Diceros bicornis minor: one gene and its partner. The protein of the gene in region 2 purifies or fractionates together with the protein of the main gene of each other region. This does not show direct contact. Links are inferred from orthologs where the notes say so. Each region holds a gene or a part of one and is shown on either strand. Other genes may lie near its edges.

What was found.
Region 1: the proteins of CDC27 (region 2) and UBE2S purify together in Homo sapiens (affinity purification with western blotting; 4 studies listed by BioGRID, with this or other methods). This does not show direct contact. The link is inferred for Diceros bicornis minor from reciprocal best matches to the Homo sapiens genes CDC27 and UBE2S.

Annotation. Positions count from the first base shown.
Region 1 is NC_080773.1:33,396,837-33,404,736, forward strand, and holds the start of UBE2S (ubiquitin-conjugating enzyme E2 S), read right to left. Parts: upstream 3,012-7,900; 5' UTR 2,823-3,011; coding exon 2,820-2,822; intron 2,214-2,819; coding exon 2,066-2,213; intron 401-2,065; coding exon 210-400; intron 1-209. UniProt on the Homo sapiens protein: Accepts ubiquitin from the E1 complex and catalyzes its covalent attachment to other proteins. Catalyzes 'Lys-11'-linked polyubiquitination.
Region 2 is NC_080757.1:44,865,222-44,872,804, forward strand, and holds the start of CDC27 (cell division cycle protein 27 homolog), read right to left. Parts: upstream 3,008-7,583; 5' UTR 2,898-3,007; coding exon 2,871-2,897; exon of another isoform or gene 2,559-2,870; intron 1-2,558. UniProt on the Homo sapiens protein: Component of the anaphase promoting complex/cyclosome (APC/C), a cell cycle-regulated E3 ubiquitin ligase that controls progression through mitosis and the G1 phase of the cell cycle.

The DNA of each region.
Region 1 (7,900 bases), on a different chromosome or scaffold from region 2:
CATCACCTGTTCCACGGCACAGGTGCCCAGGCGCCCAGGCCCTGCACAGCCAATCCTTCCAGGATTTTCCAAAAGAGCCGGAAGCCTGGATTTTTACATGGTAGCCCCCAGTCACTTCAGAGTTGATTTTAACAAAGAAAGAACACACTGCGGCTCGGACATCACTGGGATGCCCGGGGGGAGGCGGCCCGGGCCCACCCCGAACTCACCAGCAGCACGTGCCGGATGCCCAGCTCAGCTGTCCAGTCCCTCTTGAGCACGTTGACGCAGATCTCACCGTTGGCGCCCACGTTGGGGTGGAAGATCTTGGTCAAGAAGTAGCCCTTGGGTGGGGAGGCAGGAAAGTCCTTCCCCAGCAGGAGTTTCATGCGGAAGAGGCCTCCAGCGTATGGGGTACCCTCTGGAAAGCAGAGAGGGTGGATTGAGTCAGGAGGTCCAGGACTCCTAGGTATCCTGCAAAACCCCAAAGCCCGGTCTATGAGGCAAGTGCCCTGCTGCCTCCTCCATCAGACTGGTGGATTCTTTTTTTTTTTTTTTTTTGGTGAGGAAGACGGTCCCTATGCCAATCTTCCTCTATTTTGTATGTGGGATACTGCCACAGCATGGTTTGATGAGCAGTGCGTAGGTCCGCGCCCAGGATCTGAACCTGCAAACCCCAGGCCACGGAAGCAGAGCGCTACGCCACGGGGATGGCTCCCTGGGGGATTCTTGAGAGTAGGACAGGGCTAGGCTCCCAGGGGACTGCAGGAACACCCCACCACCATCACAGAGTTAACCCCCTGACTTGTGTCACCACCAAGCCCTGTTCTCCACCCCTGGATGCCTCTTCTCTCCCACATGAAGGCCCCAGTTGCGTCCCCTTCCCAAGAGGCACAGATACTCGCACCCACTTATCTTCCCGGCAAAACATCTACCTGGAAGCCTCGTGGGCAAATGAGGGGACAGTTCTGTCAACTCCATGGTCTTCCCTGCCACAGTAAGCAGTGCTCTCATTCACCCACTTGCTCAGGTCAAGGTACTGTGGAGCCGTTCCAGACCCATGGCTGTCCCTCATGCCCCAGGCCCCACATCCAACCCATCAGTAGCCTGGGCAGCCGACCTCCACGGCCCCTCCTGAATCTGAGCCCACCTCCAAGTTCAGCCGAACCAGATGCCAGCAGTGGTGGACGGCTTCCACACCAGCCTCCAGCTTCCACCCTCCCTTCACCCCACTGAAGTTAAAGGAACTCCAAAGCGACCTATGACACCTGCTGTAAACCTACCAACGGCTCCCTTCGCAAACTCCTTGGAGAGAGACCTACAAGCGCACAAATACCTGCTTCCTAAAGCCTTCACCAGTCTTTTTATCTTTCTGCTCGTACTGCACCTGCCAAGGGCCTGTCAGGATCCCCACCGCCCCACCCCATCAGGGCGTAAATCACCATAACTGTCACCATCTCAGGAAGCCTTCCCTGACCCACCCCACCCCCGTGCCTGACCCCACTCCAGACTAGGCCCTTCTTGTTACAACTTGGCTTACTTTGTAGAAATTCAATGAATAGCAAAAACATAGTGCATGTGGAACAACACACTAAATCTCTGCATGATTAAATGCTCTCCAGTCTAATATTTGATTGTCATCTCTCCGCAGGCTGCATCTGGCTTGTTTGCTATGTCCCCGACGCCAACAGCAAGACGGAGTCTGAGACAGTGTGGCCCATCCTCCAAGCCTTTGCTGACACTGTTCCCATCCAGCACCCTCTTCCCACTCCCATTTAATTCCTACCTGAGGGAACGTGTAAATGACAGCCTCCCCCCAAACCCAGGTAAGGCCCCCTTCATATGATTTCTGGGCAACCAGGATTCTCTCACATTTACAGGAAAAGTAGACACAATTACTTGTCATTTGTAGTGTCCTGCAGTGCAGACTCAAGCACCACGGGAGTAAGAGGTGCGCTGTCCTGTCCACCACTGCGTCCCCAGCCCCTGGCAGAGTCCGGCTTATAATGGGGGCTTCCTCTTCTTGCTCTAAGGATGACACGGAATCTAGGAAGCGCACCTCTTCCTGTTTGGTTCCCACACTCACCAGGGCCCTCGATGGTGACCTGCAGGTCCGTGAGGTCCTCCTCGTTGGGAAAGACCTTGATGCCATCAGGCGGGTCAGCTGTCAGCGTCGTCACCTCCTTGTACACCAAGCGGATGATGTGGGGGGGCAGGTTCTCCACGTTGGAGTTCTGGGCGCAGGAGAGAAGGGAGTGAGCGGCTAGCAGAGCCCAGGCCTCTGGCAGGATCCAGGATGCGGTGGCCGCCCTAGTCTTGACTCTGCAGTCTCAGGCTGTCAATCATGCCTGTGTTCCCAGACCCCCCACTCAGGACGCTTCAGGTGGCCCTGCCAGGCTGATCTCCCACCAGAAATGGGGGCACATCTGAGGGAGCTTGCAGATAGCTCCACCTTCCTAGAAGCCCCCAAAGCCCGCTCGTAGCACCGCATGGGCCACCGATGATTCTGGGTATACAGACGCCTGGCGTGGTCCCCTTCCCCACCTAACCTTGACAAAAAAATCCTGGAAACCCCAGCTGGGGCCTGGAGATGGCGGCGGAGCGTCCTTACTCCCGGAAAACCCACAGGCGGGCCACAAAGCCCGGAGCCCTCCCCGGAGCTCAGCCGGGCCTTCCCCTCCCGCACCGCCTCCAGGAAGGCCCTTGGGTCCATCCCCAGCCCAGGACCCCCATGCGGGCCCTCCAAACCCCCAGGCCGCCCGCGCGAGGCTCCTGAGACCCCGCCTCCTTCTCCAGGAGCGCCCCCGACGGCCCCTCCCGGGCCTGGCTGCCGCGCTCACCATGACTGCGGCCGGTCGGGGGCGGGTCCCCCCGGCCCCCTTCCTGTGCTCTCCGGGCCGCCGGCCGGGGCGGGGGGCCCAACTACTGCCGCTGCGGCCCTAGCGAGGCCCCGGCGGCCCTGCTCGGCTCCCCGCTGCCTCCGACGCCCGCAGGGCACCGCGCTCAGAAATCTACCCGCCCCAGGCGCTCGGCCGCACTGAGCCGGCCGCGCGCCCACCGACACCTCTTTATAGCCACCCGCAGGCCACGCCCCGCTGCGGCCCCAGAGCGCCGCGCCTCGACCCGTGACGTCAGCGCGCAAGGTCCTGGGCTATCGACGCGCTCGCTCCCTTTCTGCAAGCTATGGGCAGAAGCGGGAAAAGTTGGGGAGGGGGCGCGCGGCGGGTCGGCCAATGGGGGCACGCGGGGGTCGGAAAGGGGGCCCCGGAGAATGGAGGGGCTGAGAAGGGGCAGTAGAGTGGAAAGCGATGGGAGAGGTGACGCGACCGCTGATTGGGCTGTTTGAATGAGACGCCGCCACGGCCCGGTACGCGCGCGCGCCCTGATGCTCAGGAAGTCGCGCACGCGACTAACGGTCGGCCTGGGAGCCTGGGCGGGGCGAGAGGAGGCGGGACTTGGGGGTTTTAAACGGATGATGGAAGGCACTCTGGCCAATAGGGATGCGCAATCGTGGAATGGCGTAACGAGACTCGCACGGGCCAATCCTTGCCAGAGAAGGGTGACAGAGGGCGGGAGCAATGGAGAGCGACCAATGGGGGCCCTGCTTAGCGCGGGCCAAGCAGATCGCAGCCAACGAAATTCGTTGGTTTTTGTATATGCAAATAAGGTATACACTGCCTCCCGCGCCCCCTCCTCAGCCGGTGGCGGGGAGGTGGGCGCTGAGAATCGATCTAAATTTTCTACGAGGCGCCATTTTGTGCTGGGTATGACCTGTGACCTGCGTCCTGGATTGCAGAAGTTCAAAGACCAGTCAGCACGGCCTCGAAGGCGTGGACCCCTGGCCTTCAAATGTGTGACCTCTGACCCCGGCCAGGCCTCAGTCACGACGCCGGGCCTCAGTTTCCTCCTGTGGGAAGTGGGGGCTGGGATCCCTCGTGATGACCGAGAAGGAAGAAGGAACAGTCCCCAGGCCTTCGTCAGGGCACGGCCCTGCCTGTGATTGACCCGCGGCCTCCGGCTGGCCAGGCCCTCACTGGCACTCACTTTCCCTGTCTGGGAAGTGGACACACAGTGGTCTCAGGCTTCAGTTAGTAAACTGGGCCCGGCTTTTCCCCTAAACGAGCCGGAGCTCCCTGGGCCGGCCCTGACTAGATGCCAAGAGAGGAGGCGGACCGGAAGCGGAAGTGGCCTCATGGGGTCCTCTGGGCCCCTCTCAGCTCAGCCAAGTCCGGTCCAGCTTGGCCACAGTGTCCTGAAAAGACCGGTGGCTACCAGCGTCCCCTCCTGGGGCCTCAGCTGCTGGAACAGGAGGCGGGAAGGTGTAAAAGGTGCCCACAGCCTTGCAGTCTAGTAATAACGAGAGTTTGTGGAGCATTGGCGGTGCGGGCAGCTCTCACACCAGATCATGAACCTTAGCCCGCTGGGGGCAGATGATTCCAGCCCATTTAAGGGACAAGAACACTGAAGGAAGAGGCGGGTCTGGTGGCTTGCCCAGGGTCCCCCCACCGGGACAAGGCAGACGTGGTAGTCAAGCTCTATCTCCAAACCCACCCGACAGACATAAAGATGATGATAATGATGGTTATTATTTATTAGGTGCCTGCTGTGTGCCAGGCACTGTTCTAGTTCCTTTGCGTGCTTGATCTCGCTTAGTCCTTGCAACAGCCCTGTCAGGTGGATGTTGTTAGGATTCCCCTCTGGACACCTGTGTTCATTCAATGACATTTTTGGGTTTTGAGCACCTACCATGTGGCAGGAGGATGCTGTGGGGATACGGCAAAGAGTAAAAGGGACAAAACTGCTCTCATGGAGCTTACATCCTTTGAGGGAGCCAGACAGTCAGGAAGTAAGTATATACTGTCATGTCGGCCAGTGATAAAGACGTCGAAGAACAGTAAATTAGGGCCAGAGAGAGAGAAAGGGAGCAGTGGTGGCTGCTGTTGGACCTTGGCTGGGCAGGGAAGGCCTCTCTGGGAAGGCTCATGTCTATGGGAAAAACATTCTGAGAAAAGTGAACAGCAGGTGCAAAGGCCTGGGGAGGGGATGGTGCTTGGTGTGTGTCAGGCACCACCTGGAAGCCAGCAAGGCCAGGTCAGAGTGAGCCGGGCATGTGGAAGGCACTGAGGTCAGAGAGGGAAGGGGGAGCGGTGGTTATATCACACACCCGGGCCATGATGAGCAGTGTGTTCTTTTCTTCCATCAAGGGGGAGCCGCTGAAGGCTTTGAACAGGACGTGACTCCATCTGACTTAGGGCAGGAACAGAGTGGCCCGTGAGGAGGTGACTGCAGCCATCCGGGTGGGGATGATGGCGGCTCCGAGCAGGTTGGTGGCGGTGAGGGGGGGAGAGTGATGGGGTTTGGTGAAATCAACATGACCTGGTGTGAGGGAGAGGGAGGGGATCGCCTACTCACTGAACAGTCGCCTAAAAATTGGCGTTGGCACACTTTTTGAGTAAAAGTTTCCAACTTTGGGGGCCACCAGTCTCTGTCCCAGCCGGCTCAGTTCTGCTGCTCTGCCCCAGGGGCAGCCTGCATGATATTTGCCGAGGAAGGGGGGTGGCTGTGTTCCAGTCAGACTTCGTCTACAAAAACAGGCAGTGGCCGGAGATGGCCCTCAGGGAGGCCGTTTACTGACCCCTGGAATCCTGACATGCCCCACTCTTGCTAGAAACCTTTCAGGAGCCCTCCTCCCCGCTACATTTTGAGTAAACCCCACATTCCCATGAGGTCCATAAGCACACTCTCCTTGAGCCCCCCTGGCCTTTCCATCTGTCCCGTATAAGCCAAGCTCTGTCTCACCTGAGGACGTGCGAGCGGGAGTCCCCTGTGCCTGGAGAGCTTCCTACCCCTTCTTCTGTCCTCCTCACTGGCTGGGCTCACCTTAAATTGTTGCATCTCAGGGCGGCTCCCTTGCCTCCACTCCCTCGCTTGTTCCCTTGACCATCTTTGATCTTCCTGGTCCATCAGAATTTGTGATTACTTGCTTGCTTACGTGTCTCTGTCTCCCCTGACTAGATCAGCCCCAGGAGAGCGGGGACTCTGTCCTCGGCCCCAGCAGGGTGCCTGACAGATCGAGGATGTTCATTCATTCAGTAAGTGTTTCTTGACCACCTACTATGTGTTAGGCACCATTCTGGCGCTTGGGGTACGTCAGAGAACAGACAGAGGTCTTTGCCCTTGTGGGGCTTACTGTGGTGGGGGAAGGCAGACATAAAAACAAAATATAAAAAATAAATAAAATACATGATATGTCAGAAGGGACCGAGTGCTGTGGAAAAGAGAAAAGCAGAGCAGGGGAGGGGCTCGGGTGCCAGGTTGTGCTGATGCCATGGTGAATTTTAATCCGGGTGGCCAGGGTAGGCCTCTCCGAGCAGATGTCATTTGAACCCAAGTTTGAAGGAAGGGAGTAAATGATCTATGTGCTTATCAGAGGAAGAGCATTCCTGGCAGTGGGAAGAGCTGGAGCAGGGCCTAGCACACTCGAGGAACTGCAGGGAGGCCACTGTGGCTGGAACAGAAGGAGAGAGGGGGCGGGTATGGGGGAGTGAGGTCAGAGAGGTGTGTGTGGTCTGGGGTTGGGGAGGGGGTATCACGCAGGGCCTTCAAGGTGCTGCTCAAGATCAACATCAATACGATGCTCAACATCATTAGCCATCAGGAAAATGCAAATCAAAACCACGATGAGATCCCACTTCACGCTACCAGGGTGGCTATAATCAAAGATAATAACAAGCATTGGGGAGGGTGTGGAGAAGTCAGAATCCTCACACAAAGCCCATGGGAATGAAAAATGGTGCAGCTGCTTTGGAAACCAGTCTGGCAGTTCCCCAAATGGTTAAACATAGAGTTACCATAAGACCCAGCAATCCCACTCCGAGGTATGTACCCCAGAGAAATGAAAATGTATGTCCACACACAGACTCATACACAAATGTTCATAACAGCGTTATTCACAGTAGCCCAAATGTTCATCAACTGACGAGTGGGTAAACCATGGAATATTATATGGCCATAGCAAGGAATGAAGTACTTTTACATGTTACAACATGGATGAACCTCAAAAACATGATGCTGAGGGAAAGAGGCCACAAAGGACCACATACTGTATGATTCCATTTATATGAAATGTCCAGAAGAGGCGTATCCATGTGGATAGAAAGTAGATTAGTAATTGCCTAGGGCTGGGGGGTGGAGTGGGGGATAGCGAGGTGATTGCTAATGAGTACGGATTTTCTTTTGGGGGTGATGAAAATACTCTAAAATTGTGATGATGGTGCACAACTCTCTGAATATACTAAAAACCATTGAATCGTACACTTTACATTGGTGAGTTGTATGTACGGTATGTGAGTTACATCTCAATAAAGCCGTTATGGGAGGAACTGAATGAAGGCCAGAGATGGGGGGACGGGGGAGAGAGAGAAGAATGTTCCGAGCTGAGCTGGAGCGGTGGGCAGAGCCCTAGGGAGCCAGTGAGGACATTGGTCAGGAGGTGTGAGTGGATTTGGTACTCACATTGAGACTCTAGCTCGGGGCTGCTGGGTAGAGACTGGCCTGGAGGCCCTGAGCAGCAAATCCAGCACCCAGTTGGTGTGGCTTGGGCGAGGGTGGTGGCCATGGCTGTTGGAGAGAAGGGGACGGATCTGAGAACTCATCAGGAGGTGGCCTAGCAATGGGCCTTCTGAGTCAGTTTAGGAGAGTGGAATTGGCGGGGCACGGGCAGTGGGGAGGAGTGGGGACGGAGTGGGGGGCTTCCTTTGCTAAATACTGATGATCTAGGAACTTCTTTTGGTACGATGAACCCAAATTGTCCTTTCAGCTTGAATTCTAGCATCAGAAATTAATCTTCATTTCTCCTGTTCATTTGTATTAAATTATGAAAGAAACATGTGCTTGGAGGGAAATTCATGTGGTTGCGGAA
Region 2 (7,583 bases):
AAAATGATATTATGGGCCGGCTCCGTGGCTTAGCAGTTAAGTGTGCGCGCTCCGCTACTGGTGGCCCGGGGTTCGGATCCCGGGCACACACCGACGCACTGCTTCTCCGGCCATGCTGAGGCCGCGTCCCACATGCAGCAACTAGAAGGATGTGCAGCTGTGACATAGAACTATCTACTGGGGCTTTGGGGGGAAAAAAATAAATAAATAAATCTTTAAAAAAATATATGATTATTAATAAATAAATAAATAAATAAATAAATAAATAAATAAATAAAATGATATTATGTGAATAGTAACCACTTACCACACTGCTCATTATGGTGATTTTTATAAGGCTTGTTTACAACTTCATCCAACACTTCTAACTGTGAAGTCCTACCCCAGGAATAATTGATAAATCTATCAAAATATCACTGGTTTTTTAATCAGTTTCATCAGGTGAATTTTATAAACCTCCAAATTAGCACTGATTGAAGTCATTTAGGGTAGTGTGTCCTCTCCAAACAGTTATATTAAAAATAAAATAATCGACAGAATTTCTGCCTCATAATAGGAGAGATTTTTGAAATGACTCAAATATTAACTAACACTTTTCTATGAGAGATAATTTGGAGGAGGAGCTTATTCTTACCTTATCTCAGACTGGCTATTCCACACTAAAACGTTAAAGAAAATAAAAAGGCAGAGATCAGTTGCTCATTTTTTCTCTCAACTTTTTCCTATGCCTAGTAATACCATGAACCATGAGGCATCCCAAGAAAGAAAACAACTTTCCAACTTACTCTCATCCCTTTACAAATACATGCAATCACTTATTATAGTTAAAAAGAAAAACATATACAGTATCTTTATCTGTCCTAGTTTTCTTTTCTTTTTGTTTGGTCAGGGAAATTGGCCATCAGCTAACATCTGTGCCCATCTTCCTCTATTTCATATATGCGACGCCGCCACAGTATGGCTTGATGAGCGGTGCATAGGTCTGCAGCAGGGATCCGAACCTGCGAACCTCAGGCCACCAAAGCAGAGCGCCTGAACATAACCACTACGCCACAGGGCTAGTCCCCTATTTTTATTTTCTTCCTCACTAATTCTTTCCCATTTTCAGCACTATCTCTGGTCAGTTGATCTTTATCATCCTAGCCAAAATTGCTTGTTCTTCCCTCTGCTCCAGATCTCTTATTTCTTCTTATACTACCTCGTATCTTAAAACTTCTTACCACTGTTCCCAAATCTAATGGATAAAGGTAGTGTGAAAAAAAAAGATAAATTTGACATTTGAGCCTTAAAAATGCCTAAGTGCATTACTGCTAAGAGTACTTTAAGGAAAAGAGGAAACCTGGCAGGCACTATCTAGGAATAGGCTATGTATTTCTTTTCTTCTCCAAGCTCCTATACAAGTTGAAATTATTATTAAATAGTGGTTATAAGCTAGCAATGAAACTAGTTTATCATTTTAGAAGTCTTTTGGGGCCAAAGAAGGCAAACGTATCATTAATTATTAAGACAGAATTACAAGAATATGAAACAGAAATTAAACAACTTGAGTGATCTGCTTATCTATGTAAGAAGGTACAGACAGCAACTTCTAATTTCATGTTAAGCCTCAAAAAAAAAAAATCTTCAGAGACTCTTTACTAGTAAGAGGAATTTGGATGGAAAGAAATAGCTTTGGAAGCACTGGTACAACTTACAAACAGGTAAATTTCCTAAAATAGAATCCCACATTACATTAAATCAAACACTAATAGCTGCTACATGTAAAAAGCCGGGGAAGCAGCCAACTAGCAGAAACTGGTATTTCATCCTGTGAAGAAAAATTAAGGAAATATGGAAGAAGTGATGTACTAAAATATTTACTATTTGATATCACAGGCCTATTAAGGGTATATGAAATAATTTCTAAAATCAGTTTGCTTTATAACTTCAAAATAGAGAAAATCCATGAGTCAATGACAGCAGTTGACAGAGCTCAACTCTTCTAATCAAGTTCAAGATCCTAGGGTGGGTTGACAGTCTCCCAGACTTGGTTCATCACCAAGGGACAAAAGATTCAGTTTCTTCAGACGACAAGGGGAAAAATGACTTGGCACTGCCTCACACACTTCCTGGTGTGGTGAGGACAGTGAAGTGGATGGTAAAACCACTATTTGTCTTTCATTTCCTGAACGCCTTACAAACATGCACAATAAAACACTCCTGATCCCCACCACAGGTCATGGAAAAACCCAGATTTGCCGTTTCCACCCCCTCCCCTTGGATAGGTGCTTGCACCTCAGCACTGGGCCTTGGAGTTCTCTTCTCAGATCATTGTCCAGTGGGAAATTCACTGAGCGAGAAAAGCAACGTGGGCTTGCAAGTCTGTTACCAAAATAGAAATTAGTATTAAAAATACCGATCTACCCTCCCTCCGCCCTCTCACATAAAACAAAAACAAAACCAACCCCCTCCACCCCGCCAACTTGCCCCACCGTTATGAAGCCCGTACAAGCTCTGATCAAATGTGCTTCCCCACCATCCTTTAGGCACGAGAGCACCTGGGGCGAGTTTTCGGCCCCTCATCCCTCACCCCGGCCGGGGCCGGGCCCCTAGACTGACAGGAGGGCCCAGGTGGACGTTGGCTCGGAGGGGAAAGAAGCTATTATCGCCGAACCCCGCTCACACGAGGGGTAGAAGGGACGTAGGACCAGAGGTAACACGGCGTAGGCTACGGGCAAGGCCTCCGGACTGACGAGAGGATAGGCAGGACCCGGCATGGGGGGAGGCGGGAGAGGCAGCCGGGCCTAGGCCGCACCAGGCCGCGGAGTGGCCATACGCTGCTTCCCGACCGAGGCTGCGAGCCAAGCCTCAGAGAACGGGGTTCTCATTACCTGGACGGGTTCCTGCAGCACCGTCATCCTTGAGGCTCAGGCCCACTTTCTGCAGTGCCTCAGGCCCCCCCCGTAGCGGCTCGGCCCGGCCAGCCCCGGCTCATTTAAACTCACCAGCGACCGTTACCGGGGAATGGGGGAGGCCGAGAGACTGCCGAGTACCTCCGAGCGGGACACGGAAATACCCGAAGGGGAGAGATCCGCGCGGGCGCCAGACGGAAAAGCCCGAAGGAGGCCGGAAACACCCGAGGTGGGTCGACGGAGGAGGAGACCGTTGCCGGAAATTGTCGAGGATTACCGGAGACTACCGAGTCCTGTCCAGAGCGTAGGTTTCTTTTCTCGGCCCGCCTTCACTCACGCACGCCACGCCCAATAGGCCACCCTAGGCTGGGCCACGCCCAATCGGCTACCAGCAGGCTGGGCGTGGCGTGCCGGAGCGGGTGGGGAGCGTTACGTGGCTGTGCTGCCGTCTTGATTTCTGCTCAGCTTTTCTTGATTAATTGGTGCGCGGTAGATTAAGCAAAGGGTAAAACATGAGAGTTTGGGGCTGACTTTAATTAATCAAGAAGTATTTGTCTGTTGAGCTTAGGTCATTCATCCATTCCAGAAGTACCTATTCATGCCTCAAAGGGATATAGGAAATTTGGAAGGATTGCCACCCTCCAAAAATTTATTTGGTATTTGTCCTTAAAGAGATTACGGTCGATTTAAGGGAAAAGCAATGTAACTAAGAGTGCTATATTATGTGGTGCCCACTATAAGTGATGTAAAAATTCAGAGGGGAAGAAAATTAGTTGGGATTAAGATGAGGAAAGAAAAAGGGACACAAACTGGGCTTTGAAGGATGGGTAGAATTAGAAAAGAAAGGAGAGGGTAAGTGAAGGAAAGCAGAAATGAGATCAGTCTGATAAGAGTTAAGGTGTTAACTGGAAATAATTAGTTAGATGACCAGATCATGGAAAATCTCGGAAGGCAGGCAGAAATTTTTATAGGAGAGGCTTTGTGGTGTATTGAGAAATTCAGAGGCTTGATTTTGAATTTTCTCTCTTGCACTAACTAGTTTTAGATCCTTAGGCAAGTCACAACCTCTCTGAACTTCTATTTCCCTAGTATGAAAAAAGTGATGAAGAGAATTAAATGCATTAACCCTTGTGGTTGTGTCTAACACACATAGTAGGCTCTTTCAAATTTCTTTCCTGCTCCCTCTCCCCCAAAAATATGTGAACCAGGGAGCTATTAAAATTTTGTTTTTCTGTAGATGGGGAAAACAGTTTTGAAGGTTAATTTTCTGATCAGGACATCTCTAGGCTAGACGTTGGGTGTATATTCCATTGTGTGGCAATTTCCCTTTCTCATTCTCACATTTTATGCAGATAAAATCAGTTTGGAATGGGTCACTCCCTTCCTTTGGATGATGTGGAGGGAGGTCTTTTTTTTTTTTTTTTTTTTAATGCTAGTTGACAGAGCTACTATATTCTTCACCACCAGTCATCTCTAGTTACTGCTTATGCACTTGTAGCCCCATAAAGCGTAGGTGCTAAGGTGATTCTCTGCTGCCCTGTTCTTTTAGCAGAATTATGCTGGATGAATTGGAGTGGGAATAGTCTTCTACAATGACTGATATGGTAGCCACTGACTGTTTAAAGTTTAGTTAAAATCAAGTGAAATTAAAAATGAAGTTCTGGGGGTCGGCCTGGTGGTGTAGTGGTTAAGTTTGCGCACTCTGCTTTGGCGGCCTGGGGTTCATGGGTTTGGATCCCTGGCATGGACCTACACACTGCTCATCAAGCCACACTGTGGCAGTGTCCCACATACAAAATAGAGGAAGATGGGCACAGATGTTAGCTCAGGGACAATCTTCCTCAAGCAAAAAGAGGAAGATTGGCAACAGATGTTAGCTCAGGGCCAATCTTCCTCACCAAAAAAAAAAAAAAGTGAAGTTCTTCAGGAGCCCTGTCCATTCCAAAGACTCAGTAGACATATGTAGCTAATGACTTCCATAATGGATAGCACAGATACAGAATATTACCATCATTGGCTTTACTGGGGATGGAAGATCCAAGACGGCTTCACTCAGATGTTTTGGGCCTTGGTGCTACCTATTGGCTGAGCCCCTCGGTTCTCCTCCACGTGACCTCTCTCTCAGCCTTGGCCTCTCATCAATCGGTAGTCTAGCCCCAGCTTCTTGACTTGGTGGCTGGCAACCAAGCAGGCCAACACAAAAGCTGTGAGGTCCCTTAAGGCCTAGGCCTATAAGTCAAACTCCATCACTTCTTGTTGGTTCAAGTCAGATACAATGCCAGCTTGGATTCAGTGGGAGGAGAAATAGACTCCACCTCTAGATGGGAGGCTAGCAAAGTGATGCTGCACAAGGCATGTGCTGATGGGAAGGAGTGACTGCTGGGAAACTACCGGGTATGAGATGAGAGAATTTGGTAGTGGGAATGGGAAGAAAGCGATGGGTAAGAGATATTACTCTTAAAATTTGATGCTTTTAATTGAACACAACACTCCAGATTTATTCTAATTAATTCAGAATGCAGTAGGACTACTGCTTTTATTATCTGAGCACTTCTATTAAGTACACTAAAGTTTTACTTGCATTTTTTAGCAGTCACATGACACTGTTTGCTCATGCTAAGCTTGTGGTCTGCCGACCCAAGTCTTATATTTGCACAATGGATTCTTGTAAACTTAAATGTAGGAATTTACAACACGGGATACACAGAGATGATATTTTTTGTATGGAAATGTGTATCTGGAGTCAGCATTTAAAGAGTCTGTGGTGCTTGACATCTGACTTGTAAGCTTGGAATTTGCCTAAAGCCTTTTTTTTTTACCTGCTGAAAAAAGGCATCTCTTTTCTGACTGTTGTTCGCTGGGCTGATACATCTGTTGTGATTTTCTGCTCCTCCGCAGCAAGGCCACATTGTTTGAAGTTGTGCTTTAATGGGATCTTTTAGAGCATTTTTACTTCCTTCTCTGTTCCTGATTGACATACTTAAGCTCAACTCACCATCCAACAACCACTTGGGTACCCTGCTGTCATTCATTATCCACATATGTTTAGCTGGCGAGTGGAGTTAGGTTAGAGTAAGCATTATTCCAAACATGGTAAATTATCTCTTCTCCTTAGCCTGCCTCTTGTTCTGTTTCATGTTCAGTCAGATTTGGAGGCCAGCATTAGGGAACTACTCAAGAAGCTAGACATGGTATCAGTGCCCAGATGCAGGTCCCACTGAAACATAGCCCAGGAGAAGCTTACTCTTCTGAATTCCTTCAGTCCTCCTTGTCTGTATCCTTCTTTTGTCCCTGTTGCATGCTGCCTTTTATTCTTCTTTTGTTACTTGACCTTGAGACTTTTTTTCTCCTCTTTTTTTTTTTTGGTTCTCCGTCTTGGTCAAATCATCCCCTTCCTTTGGCTTCTCTGATCACACGGTCTCCTGGTTTTCCTCCTACTGCTCTGTTCTTTATCAGTTTCCTTTGCAGCCCCTCTAATGTTAGAACGCTTCAGGGATCTGTTGTAGGTCTTCTTCTGATCCTACACATTCTTCCCAGGAACACCCTTCCATTCTTGTGGCCTCAGTTTTTCATCCACAAATTGTTCCAAAATCTGTTTCTGCAGCCAGACTGCTTCTTAGAACTCCAGACCCAAGTGCCTAGCTGTGAACTGGATGTCTCTATCTGCGTGTCTCACAGGTGCTTTGTTCAGAATGGAGCTCCTCATTCCTCATACTTGAAATATTTCCTGTCCAAGTTTAAGGCATTGTCATCTTCTCCATTGCCCAACCAGAAACCACTCTCTTTCTTTAACATCTAGTCACAAAGCCCTACTAAGTTTACCTCCTAAATATACCTTCATGTCTCTTCTTGCCTCTAGTCTTACCTACCTCCAAAAGCAAGTCCGATCATGTGAGGACTCCTCTGCCTAAATATGCCCCCTCAACTCAGGATTTCCCACCGTTCTTAGGATATAGTCCAAACCCTTTAACTTGCCTTACAAGACCCTCTAAGGTCTAGTCCCTGCCTCCTTGTTTAGCCTTCTGTCATCTATCTCCCTCTTATACTCTACATTCCAGCAAAAGGGATCAGAATATGTCACTTTGGCATAAGGATTATTTTGAGCTGAAAGCAATTAAGAAGCAGCAAACATAGAAAGAGCTCTTTGCCCTCCCCCTATCTGCCTAAAAGCAGTACATGAATTTCCCTTTGTGAAGGTGTTTCCTCTCCCCTCTCCTGTACCAGGAGGAGGAAAACAAACATTATCACGAGACAGAGAGTTGGCACTGAGTTGGGTCTGCACAAACAAACTGTACTAAAATAACCCTTATCTCCCATTAGTTTCCCCATATGTTTACCTTTCCACAATTTACCACCCCTAGAAGTCCAAACCCTTTTTCCTTTGTCCTGTCACTTCTCCACAAATTTATTGCCATTTGCTAAGATAGTATGTAACCCCCAAATCTAACCACCTCTTTAGTTACTTATCGTTGAATTCTCCTATGTGTATGTGTTGCAGGTGTAAATAAACTCTTGTTTTTTAAATTCTGTTAATCTGTCTTTGATCAGTTTCATTTGCAAGGCCCCGGATACTGAACCTAAGAGGGTAGTGGGAAAAGTTCTTTTCCATCCCCTACACCAGCTCCATGGAACTTCTTGACCCACTTTCTTGACTCAGAGGCTTCACAGGTACTGGTCTCTCTGTCCAGAACA